Oryctolagus cuniculus: one gene and its partners. The protein of the gene in region 1 purifies or fractionates together with the protein of each later gene. This does not show direct contact. Links are inferred from orthologs where the notes say so. Each region holds a gene or a part of one and is shown on either strand. Other genes may lie near its edges.

Region 1 (5,541 bases):
GTTGCTAGAAAGGCGGGGCTACCTGGATGGACTCAAAGGCGAGCACCCCATTCTCCCAGGCATTGAGGATTTCCAAGATGGCCGCTGAAATGCTGAGGCAGGCTTCGTGCCACTTCATCTGCCTACAGAGGGTGGGGAGGAGGGAAAAGTCACCGTGGGGAGCACAGATGGGCTTGCGGGAGAAGGGCTTGGCCCTGCCCCTCCTCCCTCCGTGCAGTGGCGCCCGGGCACTAACACCAGCTTCATCTCTGAGGAATTGTTGAGCAGGGCCACCAGCGACTCCACTTTGGTGGAATCGGGTCGGAAGCAGGGGTGGTCAGGGTTCAGGATCTTGCCCTCCTCGGGCATGCACGTCTGCATCCAAGTCTCAAAGAATGGCACCTCTGCTCCTGGGCTTGACTCGGACAGAATCACCTGGAGGGGGCAGAGAGGAGCAGAGTGTGGAGGGTGCAGTGCCTGCCCGAGCTGGGCCAGGACTACACCCCAACTGCCTGTCAAACTGCAGTTCCCGGGGCCGGCACTGTGGTGAAGCTGCCGCCTGCAGTGCCGGCATCCCATATGGGCGCCGGTTCTAGTCCCGGCTGCTCCACTTCTGATCCAGCTCTCTGCCATGGGAAAGCAGCGGAAGATGGCCCAGGTCCTTGGGCCCCTGCACCTGCATAGGAAGACCTGGAGGAAGCTCCTGGCTCCTGGTTTCAATCCGTGCGGCTCAAGCTGTTGCAGCCAATTGGGGAGTGAACCAGCGGAGGGAAGACCTCTCTCTCTCTACCTCTCTGTAACTCTGCCTTTCAAATAAATAAATAAATCTTAAAAAATAAATAAATAAATTTAGGGGCCCCCGCTGTGGCATAGCAGGTAAAGCTGCCGCCTACAGTGTCAGCATCCCATATGGGTGCTGGTTTGAGACCCAGCTGCTCCACTTCCGATCCAGCTCTCTGTTATGGCCTGGGAGGGCGGTGAAAGATGGCCCAAATCCTTGGGCCCCTGAGCCCATGTGGGAGACCCAGGGGAGGCTCCTGGCTTCGGATCGGCACAGCTCCGGCCGATGCAGCCAATTGGGGAGTGAACCGGCGGATGCAAGACCTCTCTCTCTCTCTCTGCCTCACCTTCTCTCTCTGTGTAACTCTGACTTTCAAGTAAATAAATAAATATTTTTAAGAAATAAATAAATAAATTTAGAAACCTGCAGTTCCCTTCCAACCCTGAAGAACTACAGACCAACTGGTCTGAGGGAGGCAGACAGGGGACTGTGCTGCCACCTAGCGGTCCTTGTAGGATGTGGATGTGACTGAGAAGTCCACTGGCTTTGCCCAAGGTGGGCACCTGCTTTCTGAGGCCAGCAGAACTGGCCTGGGAGACTGACTGAGGTGGGGGATGGCAGGGTTATGGGTCGTTCCCCTCTCCTTTTTCCCACTCACCTCCGAACCATAGGTCTGGGCCACGTGGCACAGCATGAGGAAGGAGATGTCGAACAGCAAGGCACGCACTGAGGCTGCTTTGGCTGTGAGAGGATAAAAAGGCTGACAGCTCAGCCTACGGCAAGGGCCCAAAGCCCCTGGCTGAGTCGCAAGATCGGGATTTGCCTCAAGGAAGGTCAGGGATTGAGTGGCTCCTTCAAAGCCAAGGCTCAGAATCCTTTTCTTGAGTCTCAAGGGACATCATTCCTTCCTTGGAGTCAAAGACTTCCCCCTAATGCCCAGCTGAACCATAAAGATGGGCAGGAAGGCAACAACAGGACAGTTTTAGAAATTTTTCCCAACACCGCCCTCTTTAAGTCAGTCATGGCTTGGGAGGAAACAGCCTTCCCAGGGTGAGCCGAGGTGCCCCTCCCTCCCCTGCCTTCTCCCTCCACTGGCAGATCCAGTGCCAATGGGATCTGCCGCTGACTTACTGCTTTCTCCATTGCCATGCGTTGTGAACTCATTCAACTCGTTCAAACTGCGGAAGGAATGGAGACAGCTGGCATCAACCAGGGAAGAGCTGAGCAACCATCAGATACAAGGGGCTGCACACGCTCAGAGAGGCGGTCACTAGAATCGGAATCACGACTAAGCCCAAAACAGGGCAGGCACTGCGAGGCAGCGGTGAAGCCTCAGCTTGGAACGCCCACACCCCACACTGGAGTGTCTGGGATCCAGGCCCATCTCTGCTTCTGATCCAGCTTCCTGCTAACACGAAGCCTGGGGGGCAGCAGATGACGCCCTAAGTACCTGGGTCCCCCATGGGAGACCCGGATGGAATTCCTAGCTCCTGTCTTCAGTCTGGCCCAGTCCCAGTTGCTGTGGACATCTGCAGAGTGAGCCAGTGAATGGAAGATCTTTCTTTATCTCTCACCTTCTCTCTCACTCTGCCTTTCAAAAAAAAAAAAAAAAAAAAACTTCTTAAAAATTTGCAAACAGGGGTCGGCGCTTTGGCACAGCGGGTTAAGGCCCTGGCCTGAGGCTCTGGCATCCCATATGGGCGCCGGTTCAAGGCCCAGCTGCTCCACTTCTGATCCAGCTCTCTGCTGTGGCCTGGGAAAGCAGTAGAAGATGGCCCAAGTTTTTGGGCACCTGCACCCGCGTGGGAGACCCAGAGGAGGCTCCTGGCTCCTGGCTCCTGGCTTCGGATCGGCTCAGCTCCAGCCGTTGCAGCCATCTGAGGAGTGAACCAGCAGACAAAAAACCTTTCTCTTTGCCTCTCCTTCTCTCTCTGTGGAACTCTTTCAAATAAATGAATAAATCTTTAAAAAAATTGTAAATAAACATCACTTCTATAGAAAAAATAATTATTTCTATTATTTTTTCTCCTACCTATCATTAAAAGAGTTCCAAGGCCTAGAGATTGGCTCCCTGAATGTGACAATGATCTCTGTCAAATTCCAAGTCAACCAACACAAGCAGGAGAACTGAGAGGCTCTCATTAGCGGCTGGACACTCACAGAACCCACCATGCCTCCTGTTCACTGCCTCATCACCTTATCACCACCTCCACCTAACCCTCCGCTCAAGAGAAAAAGGCATTCTGGGTCAAGATCGCTCCAGCAAGGTCTCCAGCTGGGATGTTCCACCCTGGCCAGTGCATCTCTGACCTGGGAGACCTGTCCAAGGTGCCTCACTGCCACTCTGCTAACTCCTCCCTCACACATGGCCTCCCCACCAATCAGGAGCTCAGTTCCCCTCACTTGATAAATTTCCGGGCGAAGGATTTAAGCTTTCCAGTGGCAGCAGCAGCAGCCAGCAGCAGGTCCAGACTCTTCCCAGACAGCATGTGGCCCAGGACTCCCAGCAGCCCCTCTGGAGACTTGGAGTGGTCTGCATCCATCGTCTGGGGACAGGACAGGAAATCAAGTCCCAAAGAACACTGTGGAACCCCCCAGACACAGTGCAGCCACCTTTTCTCTCGCTGCATGTCTCCACTGACCGGTACACCCCAATCTACAATTTCGACTCCATCTTTCTGACCCCCATCTGGAAAATCACTCCTAAAATCCATCCATCCCTCTCAGTCACACTGGCACGAAGGTGGGAGCTTGTCTACTGTCTTCACACAAGGTGGCAACAGTGAAAGCCCCAACCACAGCACCCGGCCCGCAAGCAAAACCCAATAAAACCTCAGCTTTCAGGGGGAGCTGCGCCCGCTTTCCCCCTCTCTCTACTTCCAGAGCAAACTATGTGAGAAAACCGGACAAGAGGGGCCAGTGCTGTGGCACGGTAGGCTAAGCCTCTGCCTCCAGTGCCAACATCTCACATGGGCGCCGGTTCAGTTCTAGCCCCAGCTGTTCCTCTTCCGATTGAGCTCTCTGCTATGGCCTGGGAAAGCCATAGAAGTGGGAGACCTGGAGAAAGCTCCTGGTTCCTAGCTTTGGATTGGCCTAGCTCTAGCTGTTGCGGCCATTTGGGGAGTGAACCAGAGGATGGAAGACCTTTCTTTCTGTCTCTCCCTCTCTCTGTCTGTAACTCTACCCTTCAAAGAAACAAATAAAATCTTAAAAAAAAAAAAAAAGAAGAAGAAGAAGAAGAAGAAGAAAAGAGAAGAGAAGAGAAGAGAAGAGAAGAGAAGAGAAGAGAAGAGAAAAGAAAAGAAAAGAAAAGAAAAGAAAAGAAAAGAAAAGAAAAGAAAAGAAAAGAAAAGAAAAAGAAAAAGAAAACCAGACAAGAGAGAGCCCTGCAGCCCTGGTTACTTATTTGGAAGTACAGGGACTGGACAGGGAAAGACAAGACTCTGGTGGCAAGAGACGGGCACACTGACCTTGAGGATGTTTGTGACAGTGGGCTCTGCCCGCAGGATCAGCCCGGGGTTGGGCTGGATGTTGGCATTTTCTCCTGACTTCAGCTGAGGTGCCTGCTCCCGGTCTTCAGTGCTGTGGTCATAACCAGTTGGCCGAGAAAAGGGAAGAGGAACGTGATTTCATGATTTCATGACACTCCCTAGTCCAACTGCAGAAGCAACCCTGGGAACCTTTTTTCTTTTTCTTTTTTTTTAAAGATTTTATATATTTACTTGAAAGAATTATAGAGAGAGAGAAGGAGAGGCAGAGAGAGAGAGAGGTCTTCCATCCACTGGTTCACTCCCCAGTTGGCCACAACGGCCAGAGGTGCGCTGATCTGAAGCCAGGAGCCTCCTCCAGGTCTCCCACTCGGGTGCAGGGGCCCGAAGACCTGAGCCATCTTCCACTGCCCTCCCAGGCCTCAGCAGAGAGCTGGATCAGAAATGAAGCAGCCGAGACTTAAACCAGCGCCCATATGGGACGCCGGCACCGCAGGCAGCTGCTCCACCCACTACGCCACAGCGCCGGCCCCACCCCTGGGAACCTTTAACAGCCTCTGGGGTTGGGTGAAGCTTGAGAAAGCAATTCAGTACTGCGACTGCCTCAATTAGTCATTAGCCATTGAGTCTTTTTTGAAAATTTACTGAAGGTTAACGGAAGATCTGGGATTCTGATTCTATCACACTGGAAGGTATGGGTTAAAAAGTAGCAACTAGGGCTGGCTGGCGCTGTGGTGTAGAGGGTAAAGCTGCCACCTGCAGTGCCAGCATCCCATATAGCACTGGTTCGAGTCCTAGCTGCTCCACTTCCAATCCAGCTCTCTGCTATGGCCTGGGAAAGCAGTAGAAGATGGCCCAAGTCCTTGGGCCCCTGTACCCGCATGGGAAATCCAGAAGGAATTCCTGGCTCCTGGCTCTGAATCGGCCCAGCTCTAGCCATTGCAGCCATCTGGGGAATGAACCAGCGGGTGGAAGACTTCTTTCTGTCTCTGCCTCTGTGACTCTGCCTTTCAAATAAATAAATAAATGTTAAAAAAAAAAAGTAGCAACTGAGAGAACCAAACTGTATGTTAAAGAACTGAGTTTGGTCTGTCCCTTCCTGTCCCCTGTCCCCTCGTGGCATGGTCCCAGTCATTTGCAACCCAAACTTTAGACAGGAGTGGGAGAGGCAGCAGCAGCCCAGTCAACAGGAGACAGAAAAGCCCGGGGCTCTTGGGGTAGCCCACATGAGCTCACACTTACCGCTTAGCTGTAAGGCTGTTGACACTGGCTTCAGACAGAAGCCCCTGCTTG
Region 2 (6,335 bases), about 44 Mb from region 1:
TGCCACTATGGCAAGAGAGAGCTGAACTGTTTGTAACAGACACTCCCTCCTTCCACGGGCCTTGATCACAAACCCTTTCCCAGGCTCAACCAGCTCTTCAAGGTCCCATCCCCCCCCCCCCCCCCCAACGTGTTCCATTGCTGCTCAGAGAGAGGCTGAGCCACCGTCCACACACACACCTGAAGGAAGCCAAGCTGGGACAGAAGTCAGGCTGGCCAGCTCCAAAGCCTGCCCTTGTAACCAGAAACCTGGCAGGACGGGACCCAGGAGAAACAGCACAAAGCTGCTCAAGGGGCCGGTGTTGTGGCATAGCGGGTGAAGCTGCCTCCTGCGGTGCCGGCATCTCATATGGGTTCCAGTCCCGGCTGCTCCATTTCCATCCAGCTCTCTGCTGTGGCCTGGGAAAGCAGTGGAGGATGCCCAAGTCCTTGGGCCCCTGCACCTGCATGGGAGACCAGGAAGAAGCTCCTGGCTCCTGGCTTTGGATCTGCTCAGCTCTGGGCTTTGTGGCCATTTGGGGAGTGAACCAGCAGGTGGAAGATTCTCTCTCTCTCTCTTTCTCTCTTGCTGGCTCTACCTCTTCCTCTAACTCTGTCTTTCAAATAAATAAAATAATCCTTTAAAAAAATCTGCTTACGTCATCAGTGCAGCTGAGGCTGGCCACGTCTCTGACAAAACAGCCGCCTTACATATTCATGAAGCAGCTGCCTTTGCTGACGTTTACCAGGATGAGTATTAAACAGATGCGTATTTTTGTGGCAATGTTGGGCTTCCTGAAAGCAGCCCAGGCAGGATTTTTCTGACATATGCTTGCAGCATTACAAAACTTTACTCTTTGTCACTAATTATATGAACTATTTATAGGGCAAATTGTCAATACCCAGTATTTGCTCATGCATCTAACATTTTCAATTTGTGGGTTTTTTTGTTTGTTTTTTAGCCATATCTATTTATACCTGATTTTTTTTTTCTTTTTAAAGGACGTTCTCATTATGATGCCAATGACAAATTCGGGGCTTGTGATCAAACACGCTGGGAGGGGAAAAAAAATGACGCACGTTGCCATGGGGATATTATTGATGACTATTAGATTGCTTCTCAAATTCTGAATAGAAAGCCACGTTAACATTTTGAATCATAAAGTTACAAAACTAGCAGAAGCCTGAGGAACCTGGCTGAGACCATAGGTTTGGCGTTAGGCAAACTGGGTGACCCTAGACCCACACCCATTGTTAAGTCTCAGTTACTTTGTCTTTAAAATGGGGATGCTTTGGAGTTGGCGTCCTAGCGCTGTGGGTTAGGCCAGAGCTTGGGACACCTGCCACCCACACTAGAGAGTTGTTTCAGGTCCCGGCTGCTCTGCGTCCCATCCAGCTCTCTGCGGGACACCTGCCCCCCACACTAGAGAATTGTTTCAGGTCCCGGCTGCTCTGCCCAGCTCCCTGCTAATGAGCCTGGGAGGCAGCAGATGATGGCCCAGGTGCTTGGGCCCCTGCCACCCACGTGGGAGTCCTGGATGGAGTACCTAGCTCCTGGCTTCAGCCTGGCCCAGCCACAGTTGTTGGAGGCATTGGGAGAGAGAAGTATCCGAGAAAAGATTTCCGCGTGTCTATCACTTTGCCTTTCAAATAAAAATAAATTTAAAAATGTTGAACAGTTGTTTTAAAAAAATAAAATAGCGGGTCGAAGCCATGGTGCTGTGGGTTAAGTCGCGGCCTGCAGCGCCGGCATCCCATATGGGCGCCAGTCTGAGACTCGGCTGCTCCACTTCCCACCCAGCTCTCTGCTAAAGGCCTGGGAAAAGCAGCAGCAGATGGCCCAAGTACTTGGGCCCCTGCACCCGCGTGAAAACCCTGAACGAAGCTCCTGGCTCCTGGGTTGGCCCTGGCCCAGCCCTGGCCGTTGAGGTCACTTGAGCTAAATCGCCTGTTTCTGACTAATTTACTTAACTAGACTCGCAACCAAATCCAGCCTACACCAGCCCGCCCACCGCATGTCGCCTAGCAACAGCCTCCTCCCCTCACGCCTGCGCTTTTACCCCGCCCCCTGCTCAGTGCGCATGCTCAGATCCGTGCGTCCGGCCCCGCCCCTGCGAGGCGCTCAGCAGTGACGTGTAGAGTCCGCGACGCTCCCGGCGAGCCGAGCCGGTGAAGTGGGGGAGTTGGCTCGCTGGACCGAGCCCCGGGGCCATGGCCTCGGCCGGGGTGGCCGCTGGGCGACAGGCCGAGGATGCGTTACCGCCACCGGCCGACCCGCCGCTGACCGAGACCAAGCCGTTGCCGCCGCCGCAGCTGCCGCCACCGGTGGCCGCGCCCCAGCCGCAGCAGTCGCCGGCGCCCCGGCCCCAGAGCCCCGCCAGCATGAAGGAGGAGGAGAACTACTCCTTCCTGCCGTTGGTTCACAACATCATCAAATGGTAAGGAAGGGCCCCGGAAGAGGGGGCCCCGCCGCCGCCGCTGGCGCTGGCGCTAGGAGGCTGCAAGGGTGCGTCCCCATTTCTCGGGCGGGCAGGCCGAGGCCAGGGGGTGGGCAGGGGCCTCTCCCGAGAGCTCGCGGCGCCTGTCCGGGCGCATGGGGGCGCCGGGGGGCGCCGTGCTCTATGCGGGGGACACTTGCTCCGAGCTGGCCGGCACAGGTGGCCGGGGGCCTCGGGAGCCTGGGCAGCGTCCCTGAGGCTCCGTAGGGTTAAGACGCGCTCTGGTTTTCTCCTCGTCTTCAGCACATCCCGCAGAGAAACATCGTCGGGACTGCATAGCGTTCTGCTAGGCGTTACGGGGTGCGCACGGTAAAAGGGGCCGACTGCGGGCCGGCCTTGTGGCGTAGCAGGTAAAGCCGTCGCCTGTAGCGCCAGCATCCCGAATGTCTCCAGTTCGAGTCCCGGCTGCTCCACTTCTGGTCCAGCTCTCTGCTGTGGCCTGGGAAAGCAGTGGATGATGGCCCAAGTCCTTGGGCCCCTGCACCCACGCGGGAGACCTGGAAGAAGCTCCTGGCTCCTGGCTTTGTTCGGGCTATTTAGGGAGTGAACCAGTAGATAGAAGATCTCTCTCTGTTACCCATAATTATGTTACCCATAATTCATACAGATTGAGCCTGCAGGGCTGAGATGGCCTGCAGAGACACAGAAATCGCCTCCACCGGGCCTGGACTAACTTGATCCCAGCCTACCTTGAAAGGATATGGCCGTGCTGTTGGCCAGCCCTCAGGGGAGCCCAAGCTTTCGGACAGACAGGCTCTGGAAAGGAAAAAACAAAAACAGACAAGAAACCAAAGTCCCCCCCGTTCCACGCTTGCCTGAGTGAGTACGCCGCTGGCGCTGACGTCACGGAGTGGTGCCTGGGAGAGTGAGGAGGTGCAGCCGAGGCATCGGCCGCTTGCTGCAGGCAGACACGTCCCAACGGGACATGCGTGGTGTTTGGCCTTTCGTGGAAGTAGGAGGAGTACGTTCTGAAACAGCAGTGAGAGGTATAGGACAGCCAATACGAGGATTGTTTTGAAAGTTCACGGAAAAGTGCGTATTATGGAAAGATGTGTATGGGTTTCATTTTATTTTTCAGGGATTGGTTTTACTTATTTGAAAGGCAAAGTGATAGGGAGGCAGAGAGAGAGAGAGATCTTCCATCTGTTGGTTCACTGCCCAAATGGCCACAACGGCCGGCCTGGGCCAGGCTGAAGCCAGGAGCCTGGAACCCCATCCGGGTCTCCCACGTGGGCGACAGGGGCCCCAAGCACTTGGGCCATCCCGGCTGCTTTCCCAGGCGCATTATCAGGGAACTGAATTGGAAATGGAGCAGCGGGGACTTGAGTAGGTCCTCATGTGGGATGCCAGCATCAACGGCTTGTGCCACAATGCTGGCCCCTGAACCAAAATTTTAGTTCCATTTTTCCAGTAACTTTTTTTTTTTTAATTCATTTGAAAGGCAGAATTACAGAGAGGCAGAGAGAGAGAGAGAGAGAGCTTCCACCCAATGGTTCACTCCCCAAATGGCTGCAACAGCCGGAGCTGTGCCGATCTGAAGCCAGAAGCCAGGAGCTTCTTCTGGGTCTCCCAAGCAGGCAGGGGGCCAAGGACCTGGGCCATCTTCTACTGCTTTCCCAGGCCATGGCAGAGAGCTGGATCGGAAGTGGAGCAGCCGGGACTAGAACCAGCACCCATATGAAATGTCGGTACTGCAGGCGGTGGCTTTACCCACTACGCCATAGCGCCGGCCCCGCAGTAACTTTCTGAAGTTCCCTGTATGAGAACTGGCAGTGCAGTCGGTTTCTTTCCGTCGGAGTCACCACGAACAAGGTTGTTTTCAGCCCCGTTTTAATCTCATGCCACCATTCGTCGTGTGTGTAGTCTGTTGTTGGCTGACTCACGACTCAGTGCTAGATGTAAACCCCCAGGCTTGCCACTCGAGCTCAACCATTTAAAACCAAAGCAAGCTAAACTTGACACCACCACCATTGCGGGGGCGTTCAGGTTGAAGGTTGATGGGCTTGCCGATGCTGTGCTGAGATGGAGTCGCTGCTGACAACGTGGACTTTTTTTTTCTTTTAAAGATGTATTTATTTGGAAAGAGTTACAGGGTCCGATGTTACCTGCGGTGCTGCCTTCCCATATAGGCACCGGGTCGAGTCCTGGCTGCTCCACTTCGAATCCAGCTCCCTGCTAATGGCCTGGGAAAGGCAGCAGAAGATGGCTCAAGTGTTTGGACTCTGCTACCCGTGTGGGAGACCCAGAAGAAGCTCCTGGCTTTCACCTGCCCCAGCCCTAGCTGTTATGGCTGTTTGGGGACTGAACCAGCGGGTGCAAGATCTCTCGCTCTGTCTCTCCTCTCTAAGTTTGACTTTAATTAATGAATAAATCTTAAAAAATTTTTTTAAAAAAGGAGTTACAGTGAGAAGAAGAGACAGAGAGATCTTCCATGTGCAGGTTCAGTCCCCAGATGGCCAAAACAACGGGCCTGGGCCTGGCAGGATCTAGGAGCTTCATCCTGTTCTCCCACGTTGGTGGCAGGGACCCAAGGACTTGGACCATCTTTTCGCTTCATTTCCTAAGCCATTAGAAGGAGCTGGACTGGAATTGGAGCAGCTGGGACACAAACTGGCACCCATCACAGGCAGTGGCTTCACCCGCGGCACCCCAACGCCGACCCCCAGTGTGAGCATCTTGACTGGTAATGGCCCAGCTCTCTGGAGAGCGGGCAGACGAGAGAGACTTGCGGGCTGTGGACGGCCTGGACGCCTTTGTTCTCCCATTAGACCCGCCTTCCTTTGGCTTCCCTACGTTCGTGCCGCCCTGTGATCTCAAGTGACACTTCGGGGCTACCCAGTGCAGTCCCGGAGGCGCGTAGAATTATAAAGGATTAACCCAGAATACGCTGGTTTTGGGAAAAATGGAAACAGAACATTCACAGTGACAAGGACAGCTGTTGGGCTCCCCAGCGGTTTATCCGTGGACCCCAGCAGAGCAGCTGTGCTGGGATGGCCCCAGCAGCAGTCAAGAGACAGCGGGCCTTGCCGCGCGACAGGCCTGGGTTGGGCTCAGATCTGGGTGCTGGTGCTGGCTCGCGTTCTCATCTGTGTGGGTGCTGGCGCTCTCCCAGGTGCAGGTGTCTCGTCTCATAGGTGGGTGGTGCACCCCAGGCGATGGGCCCAGACTGCAGCTTTGCAACATACCGGCAGGGTAATGTTGGGTGAGTGGGCCTCGTTTTCTCTTGAGATGGGAACCACAAGATTGTAGTGGGGACACTGAGAACTGTGAGAGATGACAGGTGTGTCCCACGGCTCTGGCTCTGTTCCCCCTAAGGGGACAGTGAAGTTGTTTGTTTTTTAAAACATAGAACCAAAAAGAACAGGACAAAGATGAGTGGTTGCCACAAAGTAGAGGGCCACGTGCTAACCCCTGTCAGCCAACGATGGAACAAGGGCTCCCCTGACCCTCAGCGACCTCTGGGAATAAGGGTGAAGGCGAGGGTAAGCACGGGAGGTTACTGCAAAGCCTAAGAGGGGACCGCCTTCAGCCGCCTTGGCAGGCGATTAGAGGACTCCTCTGCTCCCAGGATTGTTCCTGGGGAGGAGTGAGTCAAAGAGTGGGCTGAGGGGCAGCAGGTGCATTGCTGGACCAGGTCCAGGGAGCCGTAATGAAAGTGGATTCAGAGAAGGTTCGCGGCTCACAGCCTGCAGAGGGAGACCCCAGCTGGCTGCCTCACGCCACCTGCTGCTGGACTGGCACCAGAGGGGACAGAGGTGTGTGGCCAGCCCGAGAGAGAAAAGGCATTGGAAAGAAAAAAGACGTCCTTTCTCCCAAGAAAGAGCCCAGTCGGTTCGTTCTGAGAAAGGGAGACAGCAAC
Region 3 (5,541 bases), on another chromosome or scaffold:
CTGGTCTGAACACTTCAAACTTACATCTGCTTACCCTCTAGTACAGAAAGATTACAGTGCTGTGGTCATTTATTCAGTGTACACACTACAACCTGAATCATTATACCAAAGATAGAACTAATAGTCTAGTAAGTATTGTAATTTCAGGGACAGACTTTAAATTCCATTTTCAGTATTTTATTTTTATGTTTGCTTGGTGGACTTTGGACAGAGACTGAAAGAGCATCACTCTCTAAGTCATTGTCACTAAAGCAGTCTAAAAAACTTTACTAATCACATGGTAATTTGGAGAAACTCAGGTGTTTGTCCTCAAATAGCTGAATGTCCACAGAACATATGGCATTCTGCAGTGTGGGAAATATACAGTAAAACAGGGAAAATGAAATGAAAACTTACTCTCTTTTATTAGGATAGAAACTTGGTGTTAGTACACCTGTTGTTTACAATAATTTTGACCCTCCCCTCCCCCAGTTTGAGTACATGAAGCATGCCAGTGCCTACCTCCTTTGTCTGCTTAGCTCAGTGGCTACACATAAGCAGCACAGATTTTGAGAAATAGATATTTATTTGTTTTTAATCTGGAAGGTCTTTTTGTCAGGAGTTAGGCAGGTAAGTGAGCAGAAGAGAGACTCTTCTGTGAATCTGGCACAGACTCAGGGTGGGGGGCAAATTAGGAAAGGGAGACTTATTTACAAAGAATGAAAAATTTGAAGTAACATACTGATTAGCTGACTCAAAGTTCATGATTAATGTCTGGGTCAGGATTTTGAAGAAAGAAAGGGTGGTAAACCTGATAGAGGTGAGAGAAAATAGGAAATACTAAGAAAGAGGTTGCTACTGTGAGATCAAGCAAGATTCAGTAAACTGTTTTCCTACTTACCTGACTTTTTATTAGAAAAACAGGATAGTATTAATGATAGCTAAACTGTTTACCTCTCATCTTCCTTCATATTTTATTTTTGTCATTGGAATTTTTGATAGCTAACCTGATAAATGCTTATAATGTCTTTAGGATATAGGATGAGTAGAGCTTTAAACATACAAAATGATCCGTCATCCCTTTGGTGATCCTGCTTAGCTTGTCTACCTGGCCACTGTGATTATCAAAGATCAAATTTATATGGGTTACTCATATAAGAATAATAATTTAAAAATTGGCTGGTACCATGGCTCACTAGGCTAATCCTCCGCCTGTGGCGCCGGCACTTGGTTCTAGTCCCTGTCGGAGCACCGGATTCTGTCCCGGTTGCTCCTCTTCCAGTCCAGCTCTCTGCTGTGCCCCGGGAGTGCAGTGGAGGATGGCCCAAGTCCTTGGGCCCTGCACCCACATGGAAGAGCAGGAGAAGCACCTGGCTCCTGGCTTTGGATCAGCGCCGGCCGTGGCAGCCATTGAGGGGTGAACCAATGGAAAAGGAAGACCTTTCTCTCTGTCTCTCTCTCTCACTGTCCACTCTGCCTGGGCGGGGGTGGGGTGGGGGGACTAATTTTCCCATTTATTTATTTGAGAGAGAGAAATGGATCTTCCATCAGCTGGTTCACTCCCCCAAATGACCATGTGTGGGCCAGGCTAAAGCCAGGAGCCAGGAACTCCATCCTAGTCTCCCACATGGTGGCAGGAGCCCAAGTACTTGGGCCATCTTCTGCTGCCCTCCTATGTGTATTAGCAGGAAGCTGGATTGGAATCAGAGCAGCTGGGACTAGAACTGACACTTGTATATGGGATGCTTGCTTTGCTAAACCCACTACATCCCAGCACTGCTTCTCCCCTCCATTTACTTTCTTTTACTAAAAACAAGAGCTTGGCCTATAAAGGGGATTGAAAAAGTTTGGAAAATAGCATTCAAAGACAAGCTATTTTGATGGCAAAAATTTTGAAATCCATATATATGAGGGGCCTTCAAAAATTTCATGGAAAAAATTTTAATTTGTCCCAATGCTTATTTATACTGATGATCGGTATTGAGTAGATCATTCCAAAACCACTTCTGAATAGGATGACTGTTTGCACATTGGACTTATTAGCGTAGAGAAGTTAACATATTCAGTTTAGGATTTTGCTAAGAGTAGAAGTGGAATATTTTCAACTTTAAATTCTAAATTGGTATATTGATTTTGTCAGTATACCAATTTAATAGTTATGTTGATTTCAAATTTAATGTGAATGATAGTAAACCTGTATCTTGTGAATGAAAGAAATTTGCCTTTTTTGTATACAAAGAAATACATTTGGCCTATGTAAATAATTCCTATGAATTTTTAGTCTCATACTTAAAGTAGTATTTTGCTCCCCATTTGCTTATGTTTCTTTGTAAATACTTAAAAAATCTGACACTGCTGTGGCATAAAAAATACTTTGAAAGATAAACTGTTCACAGGGAAATGTATTTCATTAGAATATTTTAGGTCAGGCATTGTCTTTTTCTTGTTGGAATTGCACCTTGCTAAGAGTGCTAACAGGAGGGTAATTATTAGACTTTACAAATTAGTAACTAAATAAACAAGATAAAGACAAGTATTTTATCACAAAAAATTGTGCTTATTTTTGGCAAGGGCACAATTTGAAAGGCTGTTTGGATTTTCTGTTTAGTTTTTGTTTAGTTTTGTTTGTTTGTGGTTCCCATGCTTTGTGTGCAGCTTTGTATTTATTTTGTAGATAAGGTAATGTTTGGGGCATTTAAAACTCATCAAAATCCAGCTAATCAGTTTTATTAGTTTTATAATGGAAACACTGGGTGGGGTGGAGGTATAATAGGGAATGAAGAATTGGGAATGGGAGTGTGGGGGCTATTTACAAACAATGTTCCCTGATATTTAGTAATTATAATTGCTTAGGAACTAATATGACTATTAGGGAAGAAAAGAAAAAGACTCCCACCAAAATAAAAATGCATTTTCTTTTGGAAAGAACCACTTTATTTTCCTCCTTTCTTTTTCTTTTTTCCTTTCCTTTTTTTTCTTTTCTTTTTTTTTTTCTTTTTATTTTAAAGATATTTGGGCTATAGGGTGTATATTTGCAGAACTACTAACGTCAGAACCAATATTTCACTGTCGACAAGAGGACATCAAAACTAGTAATCCTTATCACCATGACCAGCTGGACAGAATATTCAATGTAATGGGATTTCCTGCAGGTACACATTATGTTTTTGTTTTTGTTTTTAAATCACTGTTGTTTGAACTTAGATATCTTCATTGGAAAGATGTATATTTTTAGTTGATGAAAGCTATTTGTACTTGATGCTTTGTTTTTATTACTTGTATTTATCAAAGATTGACAGAAATAGCAAAATTTGTAGAATTCACAAGAGTATTAACATGCAAAATATTTGTGGATTTCCTGAATTTGAGTATTTTTTGTTTTGTTTTGCTTTTGTTTTGTTGTTTGATATTTAATATGATACAATATTTGCAATATCTATATTAGAAGGGTGTTTTTGGTTCTTACCAGTAGAAACTATAAATCAAATTCAGTAGTAGAATTTTTTTTTTATTGCAGCACATTTAATACTGCTAGTTCTTGACATTTGAATACAAATTTTGAACATTATTTAGGGCACTATGAACAGTATATTGGACATTTTTGCTCTCTGACCCTCATCACTAAAAGTGTTGTGTTGGAACAGTCAGAATGTGGGCTAAGCATTGCACTCCACCAGCTGCTAGCCCTGAGTTTCACAGCAGGGAAACAGTCCTCAGGTGTCCAGTTCTTGGCATTACATCTCTCCAGCTACAGCCCAGGCTCTAGGTATACCACAGAATGGTGATTCTTCATTCACCAAAAACTCCCCAGAGGTTCAGTAAAATGGCAAATTGTTTAAAAGACACCAATAATTTTGAATCATTTAGTACTTAATAGAAATTGTTTCTCATTAGAAATATTTCTCAAGTCACTGTAACCCAAGACAAATACAGAAATACCTGAGGGTTTCTCCAAAATATCTGAGGGTTACCTCTCTCCACAATTTGTCAACAGTTTTGGAAAGATGACTTTGTCGTGATGGAATTTCTTTTATTCACTAAATATTTATGAGTAACTGCCATGTGTCAACACTGTCTTAAGTAAAACATTGATATAACAGACATGATTCTTGCCCTGGTGTGGTTTACATTGTACTGCTATAAGTAGAATGTTTAAAGAATAGCTATGTTCTGAGCAGATAGAGAAGAGTGGCCTTTACTTCCTGCTTCTGAATTTGTCCACTATTTCTGAGGCCCACAGGAATGTAGCTTAGGGGAGAGGGTGGGAGTGGTGATGGCCCATAGTGGAGAGGATCCTTAATGTGTGGCTCGACAGTTAGGGTGGGCTGTTTATGTAAGGGTCCTTGAAGAAGGTGGCCCAGTTTAGACTTGATAAGCTGAAATTTGAGAGTCTACAATGAGTTTTTGAGTACAAGGAATGTGATTTATATTTTAGAAAGATCAGTATGGCAGTGGTGTGTAAAAATCAGAGAGGTGACTGCAGTCAGGGAAACAGGCCTCTTGCTGTAGCAATACTACAGGCAGAAAGAGCACGGAAGGAGAATGGAGGACACAGCTTTGTGTCACTGGGAAGGATAATCTCAAGATTTCTACTTTGAGGAATTGACAAAATAGAGAAATCGGGGCAAGGAAAAAGTAAGGAGGAAATTCCATTTAGGAATTTAAGTAGACATTTAGTTTACATTATGTGATGTCTATGGAGGACAGTTAGCAAATATTTTTACCAGTGACTTCAAAGAAAAGCAAACCATGAAAGGCCAATTAAAAGTGAAAGGTGCTTGTCACAGTGCTGCTTGCCTAGTGGGCTTTCATTAAAAGTCTTTGGTATTGATGGAGAAAGCAGGTGATCTGACATGAGTTGTTGGAGCAACTCTTAAGGCCAGCAAACCTGGCTGAAACATTTTGTTCTTAAAATTTATTTAACAACTTTTGTTTTACTTAACACCCCAAAAATTATTTAGTAGCTAGGAGTTTTTATTTAGTGTCGGGTAATGTTAATAAAAAAAACCAAGATACCAGCCGATTATTAATATTACTATTTCCATCCTACACCCAGTTCTACTGCAAACAGTTATTACTGGCTATATTGATTGCTGATGTAAATAAGGAAATTGCTGATTTGCCAAGAAGTGTGGTGGAAAAGGAAAAAATAAATTATTATACTAATAGAAATAGAACTTTTTAATAATAAATAGAAATACTTATAATATTCCTTCCTAGTTATAGTAATTGAGGCAACTTAACAATAAATCATATGGAAAGCAAACAATTTAAAAATTTAAAAGATGAACAGATATAAAAGCTATTTGAGCGGATGAGGAATTGTATTTACAGTTCAAGATGTTTATTGTAGCTGAACATTTATTTGAACTCTGAGCTTCCAGAGAGGCTAAAAGAACTGGAAATATAGTGAAAATGGAGGTAATCTATATTGAAATTCTAAAGAATAGGAACCTAGGCAACATAAAAATTTATCAATGTGTTTCACAGATAAAGATTGGGAAGATATAAAAAAGATGCCCGAACATTCAACATTAATGAAAGATTTCAGAAGAAATACGT

The links.
Region 2: the proteins of MED24 (region 1) and MED9 purify together in Homo sapiens (affinity purification with mass spectrometry; 5 studies listed by BioGRID and IntAct, with this or other methods). This does not show direct contact. The link is inferred for Oryctolagus cuniculus from reciprocal best matches to the Homo sapiens genes MED24 and MED9.
Region 3: the proteins of MED24 (region 1) and CDK8 purify together in Homo sapiens (affinity purification with mass spectrometry; 13 studies listed by BioGRID and IntAct, counting the BioPlex papers as one, with this or other methods). This does not show direct contact. The link is inferred for Oryctolagus cuniculus from reciprocal best matches to the Homo sapiens genes MED24 and CDK8.

What each region holds. Positions count from the first base shown.
Region 1 is NC_091448.1:22,394,675-22,400,215, reverse strand, and holds part of MED24 (mediator of RNA polymerase II transcription subunit 24), read right to left. Parts: coding exon 5,491-5,541; intron 4,343-5,490; coding exon 4,231-4,342; intron 3,307-4,230; coding exon 3,164-3,306; intron 1,939-3,163; coding exon 1,892-1,938; intron 1,679-1,891; exon of another isoform or gene 1,579-1,678; intron 1,502-1,578; coding exon 1,419-1,501; intron 415-1,418; coding exon 236-414; intron 123-235; coding exon 23-122; intron 1-22. UniProt on the Homo sapiens protein: Component of the Mediator complex, a coactivator involved in the regulated transcription of nearly all RNA polymerase II-dependent genes.
Region 2 is NC_091448.1:66,356,369-66,362,703, forward strand, and holds the start of MED9 (mediator of RNA polymerase II transcription subunit 9), read left to right. Parts: upstream 1-2,098; 5' UTR 2,099-2,189; coding exon 2,190-2,416; intron 2,417-6,335.
Region 3 is NC_091440.1:96,684,885-96,690,425, forward strand, and holds part of CDK8 (cyclin-dependent kinase 8), read left to right. Parts: intron 1-2,987; coding exon 2,988-3,131; intron 3,132-5,469; coding exon 5,470-5,539; intron 5,540-5,541.